Neodiprion lecontei: one gene and its partner. The protein of the gene in region 2 interacts with the protein of the main gene of each other region in a pairwise test. Links are inferred from orthologs where the notes say so. Each region holds a gene or a part of one and is shown on either strand. Other genes may lie near its edges.

The links. The genes of interacting proteins can lie anywhere in the genome.
Region 1: the proteins of exocyst complex component 1 (region 2) and spectrin alpha chain interact in a two-hybrid assay, tested with the Homo sapiens proteins (2 studies listed by BioGRID and IntAct). The link is inferred for Neodiprion lecontei from reciprocal best matches to the Homo sapiens genes EXOC1 and SPTAN1.

The regions. Positions count from the first base shown.
Region 1 is NC_060263.1:15,581,223-15,584,980, reverse strand, and holds the start of spectrin alpha chain, read right to left. Parts: upstream 2,660-3,758; 5' UTR 2,572-2,659; exon of another isoform or gene 2,508-2,571; 5' UTR 2,365-2,507; coding exon 2,215-2,364; intron 2,021-2,214; coding exon 1,789-2,020; intron 1,688-1,788; coding exon 1-1,687. UniProt on the Homo sapiens protein: Fodrin, which seems to be involved in secretion, interacts with calmodulin in a calcium-dependent manner and is thus candidate for the calcium-dependent movement of the cytoskeleton at the membrane.
Region 2 is NC_060263.1:29,175,832-29,179,589, forward strand, and holds the start of exocyst complex component 1, read right to left. Parts: upstream 2,761-3,758; coding exon 2,313-2,760; intron 2,236-2,312; coding exon 2,081-2,235; intron 1,996-2,080; coding exon 1,768-1,995; intron 1,682-1,767; coding exon 1,445-1,681; intron 1,362-1,444; coding exon 1,121-1,361; intron 1,035-1,120; coding exon 817-1,034; intron 697-816; coding exon 506-696; intron 348-505; coding exon 1-347.

The DNA.
Region 1 (3,758 bases), about 14 Mb from region 2:
GTTCGATTGAATTGCTGCTGCTGTGCAGCCTCTTGCAATTTAGATCCCTTTTTGTCAGTCGCCTGAACAAGACTGTCCCAAAGACCAGTGATTTCGTCAAGACGTGCACGAATGCGATCACTGGCATAATGTTCTTCGTCGATCAGTTTTTGCCCTGTGCTGAGAATTTCCTCCATGCGCGTATTGTTTGCATTCAACTCCTGCTCGAAATTCTGATGTTTCTGTACTTTGCCGTTCAAATTCGTTGGGTCTAGGTAGCTGTCGTCAGTGGCGAATTTGAGTTTTTCATTCACCCAACCCTTGGTTTCGTCGCAATCTCTCTCAAACTGTTGAAGCGTGTAAGCATCAGCCAAACGCTGTCTTCTTTGAGCAGATTTATCAAGAAGGGCACCTCGCCGCTCGAGCAAGAGCTGCCGACGTTGGAATACATCTTCAGCCGCGTAATGATCACCCTCGATAAGCTTACGGGCAAAGTCATCTAGCACTTTGATTTTTTCATCTTGAGCAGCCAGGGACTTGTTAAAGTCGTCATGTTTTTTGATTAGAGCTTCTACACTGTCCAGGGAATCTCCAAGGTCTTCGTTAGCCAGGAATGCTTCCTGCTTTGCCATCCAGGCGTCAGCCTGCTCTGTGTCCCGATAAAATAGCTGCAAGTCCATGCATTGCTCGTACAGAATGCGACGTTTTTCCCAAAGATCTAACAGGGACTTCTTATCCTCAGCAAGAGACTCCAACTTCCTGGCTACCTCATCTGCTGCATAATGTTTCCTATCAAGAAGTTGCTGACCGGCACGAGCAGTCGAGTCAAAACTGTCCTTCCGTGCGTCAATTTCTCCTTTGTGTTCTTGATGTCGCTCCAGCAGCGCCTCTGCTCCTGCAACGTCTTTGGCAAGCTCGTCTGCAGATATAATGGCTCGCATATCGTTCATCCATGAAACAAGATCCCTGTAGTCGGTCAAGAATCGATGAAGGTAGTAGGACTCGTCCAACTTGGATCTTCGTTCCTTTGCCTTGGCCGTCAAGCTTTCCCAGAGCTGCAATATTTCTGCATGCTTTGATTGGATCTGCTGGGAATGATCGGCCTGGTGAATAGCAGCCAGGCGATCTGCTTCGGCACCAAGAGTGGCCACCTTGTCTTCCAGAGCAGCTAGATCACGTTCTATTCCCTCATGCTTGCGCTGAAGTGTCTGAACGCTGGCCAAATCGCGGCCAAAATCATCAGACGACAGAACGACGTCCTTCTCCGCAATCCAGGCCATAGTTTCGTCAGCATCTCGGTTAAATCTCTGTATCTCATGGGCACCAAACAATTTTTCCTGCCTGAGAATAGCGAGCTGCTTCAACCTCTGCCAAGATTCATTTAGCTCTTCTTTTCTACGGAGAATAGTATCGCGCTCAGGATGCCCATCCAGTAGAAGCTTGTCAGCAAGTTCATTAACCTCTGTTACTCTGTACTCTTGGCTAGCCATATCTTTCTGAAACTCGTCAAATTTCCTCTGAAGAACCTCGACATGCTCTAAGTCATGCCCAAACTCGTCTGTAGTGACAAAAGCCTCCTTATCGTGGATCCAGAACATGACTTCGTCGCAATGACGAAGAAACTGCACCAGAACAAGAGCTTGTTGAAGTTTTAATCCCTTGTCGGCCAAACGAGAAAGGAGCAGCTCCCAAAGACGATGCAGTTCCTCTAATAATACAAAAATTACAGTTAAGTATGAAGAAATGAACGAAGGGTACTTGTTACATTTGGGAAAGAAATAACACAGTTAACTATTAATCTACGCTTACCAAGCCTCTTGCGAATAACGTCAGAGGAGAAATGATGCTGAGCTATCATCTCTGAGCCTGTGTTGTCGAGCAATACGATGGCGTTTGAATGAGCGGCTACCTCAGCTTCGAACGCCTGATGTTTCTGAATCTTAGCTTGAAGATTCGTCGGGTCTTTGTAACTCTCGTCGGAAGCGGCCTGGAGCTTCTCGTAAATCCATCCCTCAAGTTCGTCCGCATCTCGCTTAAAATACTGGAGAAAAAAATGCACAACGTACCCGTTAGTGTAAGATTTCAATCAAGAATCGAATAACCAGTTTCATTTATTTCAGCGATTAATTGAAAATAAATTTAAGACGAAAATACACGATTGATCCGACCGATTTCCGTCTGTCAAAACGCACGATACACACCCGCATACACGTACACGAGCACCAAAGGGCATACCTGAAAGCGACGGGAGTCCTCAAGTTTGTCCCGCTTCAAACGAGCCTCGGATTTAAAATTAGCGTAACGTCCAAGGACCTGATCCCTGCGCTCCTGTATGTCGGCAGGATTTTCAAGGATCTTAATCTCCTTGGGTGTTATTTGATCCATGATTGAGACTTTGTACACAGTAGTTATCCACCAAAATGGCCGCGGGGTGTGGCAGCGGGCCGAATAGTGTTCGGAATATCGAACGGACTGTCAGCCCCGTTGTTTTTTTGGTTAATTATCGTTTCCCGCACCAACCCTAAAATCTAATTTTCAAACGGTCACTTTACGGCTCACAATGTGCACTCTAAACGGTACAAAACAACACACCTTTGCTCAGAATGACTTCACCTAAATTCTCGTTCGGCACATTCGTCGTCGTTGATTCCACGTTCGATACTATACGCGAGTGCGGAAGAGCGACGGGTGTTCAGTAAGTGGGGTAATCGCCGGGTGTTCCATAACTCCGCGTTGCGCTGTCTGCTCGGTGATTTCTGTTGGAGCGTGGGTTCTAATTGGCTTGCGAATCGGCTATTATCCAGTTAAAAACCTGCGCGAGATATTCAACTGAATTATGTTACAGCCCACATGGAATAACGGGTCAATAGGCTCCGTATAAATAGCAATTGCGTCATACTGCACATAAGATTAACTGTACACATATATACACTGTTTCCCGCTAGTTGTAATGAAGCTTGAGCCCGTAATGTTTAATCTCTCTCACATTTACTTGTTGTTAGTATTGTGAGCTTGGTGAGCTTTAAATAGTCGCTATCACGATGATTCAATATTATAAAATGCACATAGATCGTATGTTGTATACAATGTATACTTACACAGCCGCTCTCCGATAAGGTTTCACAATGTTTTTACCTCGAATTTTCTATTTTCGCAAAAATGTAAATAATATTATAATGAAATATTATTTTTGGTTGAAATATACTTAGTAATTTCTGGATATCTTATTATGATACAGTATTCATTTATTAAATTTCACCTACAAACAACGAATCACAGAACGTTACATTATAGTTCCTTAACACGTAAATCAATTTATCCATACTTAATTATATATTACAAGTAAATATAATCATATCCTTATTACAGTAAAATCTTAACTTTCTAAAATATCATCATCATATCATCATCATTTTTATCATCATCACTGTCACCATAATCATCAGCATCAGCATCATAGTGTAGTCAAATGTTTATGTTATAATGTAAATTTACTTTCCCTGAAAATAAGAGATTTGAAAAATTTGTATTATTTAATTTTAGTGTCCATTCATTGTTTATAAGTATGTGTTATTATGTATAGTTGTATAATAGGTACTTGCTTCTGTTTGTTGTACTGTAATTTCCACGGTATATAAGTAGTAGTAAATTTCTATTTGTTTATTTATTTCATTGTTTTTCAATTTTCTCTACAGGCACGAAACACTGAAAATTGAGAAAGGAGCAAATATTTGTAAACGACCGTATAATTTATATAAGATGAGTAACAAATGGCAAAT
Region 2 (3,758 bases):
GTGTTTTATGATGTTCACCACTGTGTATTACAATTGCTTCGAACATTGCCTCAATGAGTTTGGTGTACCACTTCTCTAGATCGACTTTTCTATCAGAATTTTTGAATATCCGTTCTGCAGTTCGGGCAAAGGGTTGAAGATTTTCAACGTAAGGTAATATTCCACATTTGGTTCGACGGTTGACTTTGGGGTCACGCAAGATAGACTGTAGTTGCGCCTGCATAAATTTATCAAACGATCTCTTCACCTGTACAAGTGCAGATGCAAATGTCATTGAAAGAAAAGATCCCGTATCCTGCGCTGACATTACGTGCTGTGAGAGCCGCACTAGTACATATAAACACCAACTGGAAAAAAAATGTTTCACTTGCTGTTATTGTTATTAAAGTTGTTGGACAGTAATATTTTTCTTACTACAAACGTAACTGATAATGAATTGTCGGGTAAATTATAGTTATTTGACAGAAATATTAATGCTAAGGATAACGGAAATCTAATAACTTACAAGCTGTCTATTTTATCCAAATATGATATAAAATTGTTCAATTCAGGCTCAAGGGATGGAAATATTGCAGCCATTGTAGCTCTAACTTCTTCGTTAACTTGTCTTTCCAACTTTTTACTGGCAGTAGAATTTGCTGATCCGGGACTTGTTGCTCCATTGCTAATACTATCAGTCTCGTCCGCTTCAGTTCCCTTTTAACAATTAATCACCTCACGCATTATATACTGATCAATTGCTATATTATAACTAATAGAAGCAACTAACGATATACCTGTGATTCAACGAAATGTAAGTAAAGAAATATTTTGTACCTTCACGGGCGACAGAACCGAGTCAAGCTGGAAAAACGAAACGCAAAAAGCTTGTTCAGCGAGACAGACAGGCTGCAATTGAGAAAGAGCTCTATCTAGAACAGAATCTAAGAGGGCTCCCTCTCCTTGAGGAGCCCAAACCTCCCCACCCAAGAGACAAAGAGGCGCTGGACTAACCAAGTCATCCCCTTTTTGTCCACTAGATTTCGATGTATTGGCTGTGAATATATGTAAGATGCACAACAAAATGTTTACTTTTGCGTATATACTATGGCTGAATTTATGTAAGGTTATATATACCCACCATTAAGTTTTTTGCTAGTAACGCGAGTTTTTGCTTCCTCAAAAAATAGCTTTAGGTCTCTCTGGTATAATTTGCTCATGGTGCCAGTGTACACTTTTGTTAATTGAGTGAATGCTTTGTTATCCAAAGCTCTGAGTAATCTCATCAATTCGGTGTATGGTTCTAGTTCACGATGTACAGCTTGATGCGTAGGCAGCGTAAGATCTGTTGTCGAGGTTGAGGCTTCGCCTGTGTCATTGCCCTGAAAATCAAGTCAAGTAAGATAATGGTTACAGACTATTGCCTAAAGCAATATACGGCAAGAAAGAGAAAATAGAGACAAACCAAGTGTATGAATAGATTGTTCAGATGCCTGGCTACAATCAAAGAGAATTTAGCTCTAAGTTTGTCCAGACGCCGACGTTGTTCCGAAGCAGCTCCTAATTTATCAAGACCAGGAGGTAAAGGAACAGATGTAGCTTTCAATAAAGCTACTCCTGCTCGTCCGAGCTCTTCTCTACCTCCTGGAAGTTCTGCTTCGCTCAATGTGCGTTGGTGTTCTGCTGGTATATCCAGTTGTGTCTAGTTGAGTAAAAATTCGAAAGGTGAGTGGGAAAATCTGTAGATTGTAGAATACTCAGGCAGAATCCTTGTAGTTACACACTTACAATTACAGCGTCAAGCTGTTCGAGGAGAAGTCTAGCGTTGTGATTAGCCGTATGAATGGCTTGGTTTTTTTGACCAACTCTAGCCATTGCATCTCTGATTCTACCAAGTGCCTCGTCATAGACAGCAAGACGTGATTCTACTAAGGATGCTTCGGTAATAGCAGCCTCGATACCATTCATTAATTGAATTACTTGAGGCTCGGAAACTAGGACCGATTGTACATTTTGCTATTGAAGTAAGAAATATTCACATTTATTAACATGTTTTATCTTTACTGATTATTTGGTGCCTTAAAAATTGAGAATATCTTACCCCATCTAATATCGATAGATCTTTAGAGAGTGTTTCCATAAAACGTTCTGCATCTGAGACTGCATAGTCACAACTTGCCATCAACGATGCTAGATACGTAGCCTCCTTGTCAGTAATTGGTTGATAATCTGCAGATACAGGTTGAGACAACAAATCTGAAAAAATTCAATATACATAATGATACATGTATCTTTCTGAACAACAGCATCAAGGTTGTTTGAAAATTATTTACCCGGTGTGAAAATAATGCTGTCGCTTTCTTTAAGAGATGCAGGATCGATCATCCAATCACTGGGTATATTTTTAAACTCAGGTCTTTGCGGCATGCTACAAGAATATGTGTATAAATTCCGTATGAACGTTGTTCTTTCTTGAGCGTAGGTGGCTGTCCATTTATAGACCTTATCGATGTATATTTCCAGGTCCAGCGAGTCAATATTGACACCATCAACCATTTGTATATCAGTCAGAGGCCAGGACTGTTTTTTCTTGTAGACATTCTTGTCATTTTTTTTAACTTGGCAAAGCAATAGTGAGCCTGGGGTGTCAGTTGTTCTAACGATACATAAAAAGCTAGTCTTTTTTTTTTTAAAAGCCTTACAAACATGACAGAGACTAAGCAATTGCTGATCGGCTGGCGCAAACAGTTCTCGTTTTAGCGCATGTTTTATCACAGCCATTGCATCAACAAATTTTATTTAATTATTCAGGTTTTCTTTATTATTCAAGCATCAGTGATGACTGGCTTTTGTGGTCGGTCTAGCAGCTCTTCCGTCTGAAATGTGAGGAATAATTTAATATATCGAATCACTGACAAGGTTAGAGTGCTTTAAATTAAATTGCTTGTTGTGGCTCATGTTCTTACAGAAGAGAAACTATGACTCGTGTGAGTGGTTTTTTAAAGTTTGGTTAGAATCACCAGATTCACAGACTTGTAGGTCAAAGAACTGACCACAATCATTGTGCTATTATTGAGTCTTATGCAACACTGTGCGCTGCTTGGAGTTGGATAAGAAACCTTGGGAAAATAGTGATTGGTGGTCTGAAAAGAGTGCCAGCGATTCCATAGATGAAACTTGTCTTTCGGATATGCGTACGTACTCGGTGTATTTTCTGAAAATCATCATTCCAACCTCGAAATTAACATTTTATTACCTAAGAATTAAGATAGTGTTACCAGGCTCCTGAAACACTGCCAGTTATTTCACAACGCTTCGTATATCATCACACAATTGATTGCAACCAATTTTTTTTGTTCTTTGAGGCTGCAACTGTCATTTGACAGCCCACATCGAGGCTTTGAGGGCGTAAACAGGAATCTAGCTATATTCTGGAGCGCAGGCGTGAGCTTAGAATTTTTTATTTCGTGTAGCTCTACATTTGTTTGATGCGTTATGTGTTGCAGCTATTAGGCGCAAATTCATTGCATTTCTCAAGTAAAAATGAAACAGAAATTTGATATTATGTACTGAGTTATCGTTGCTACCTGCATAGGTTGAAATTGCATTTGGCGTGGTTGAAATTTTATAATCCGAATAATACATTATTTACTAAATGTATTTTCAGTTCTAGAAAAGAACTAAATACTCAAAAGTTCAATGCCCTATATTCACAAAATTCCAAATTCACAAATTATATCTTACTTCGAATATATGCCTGATTGTTGAATGAGAATAGT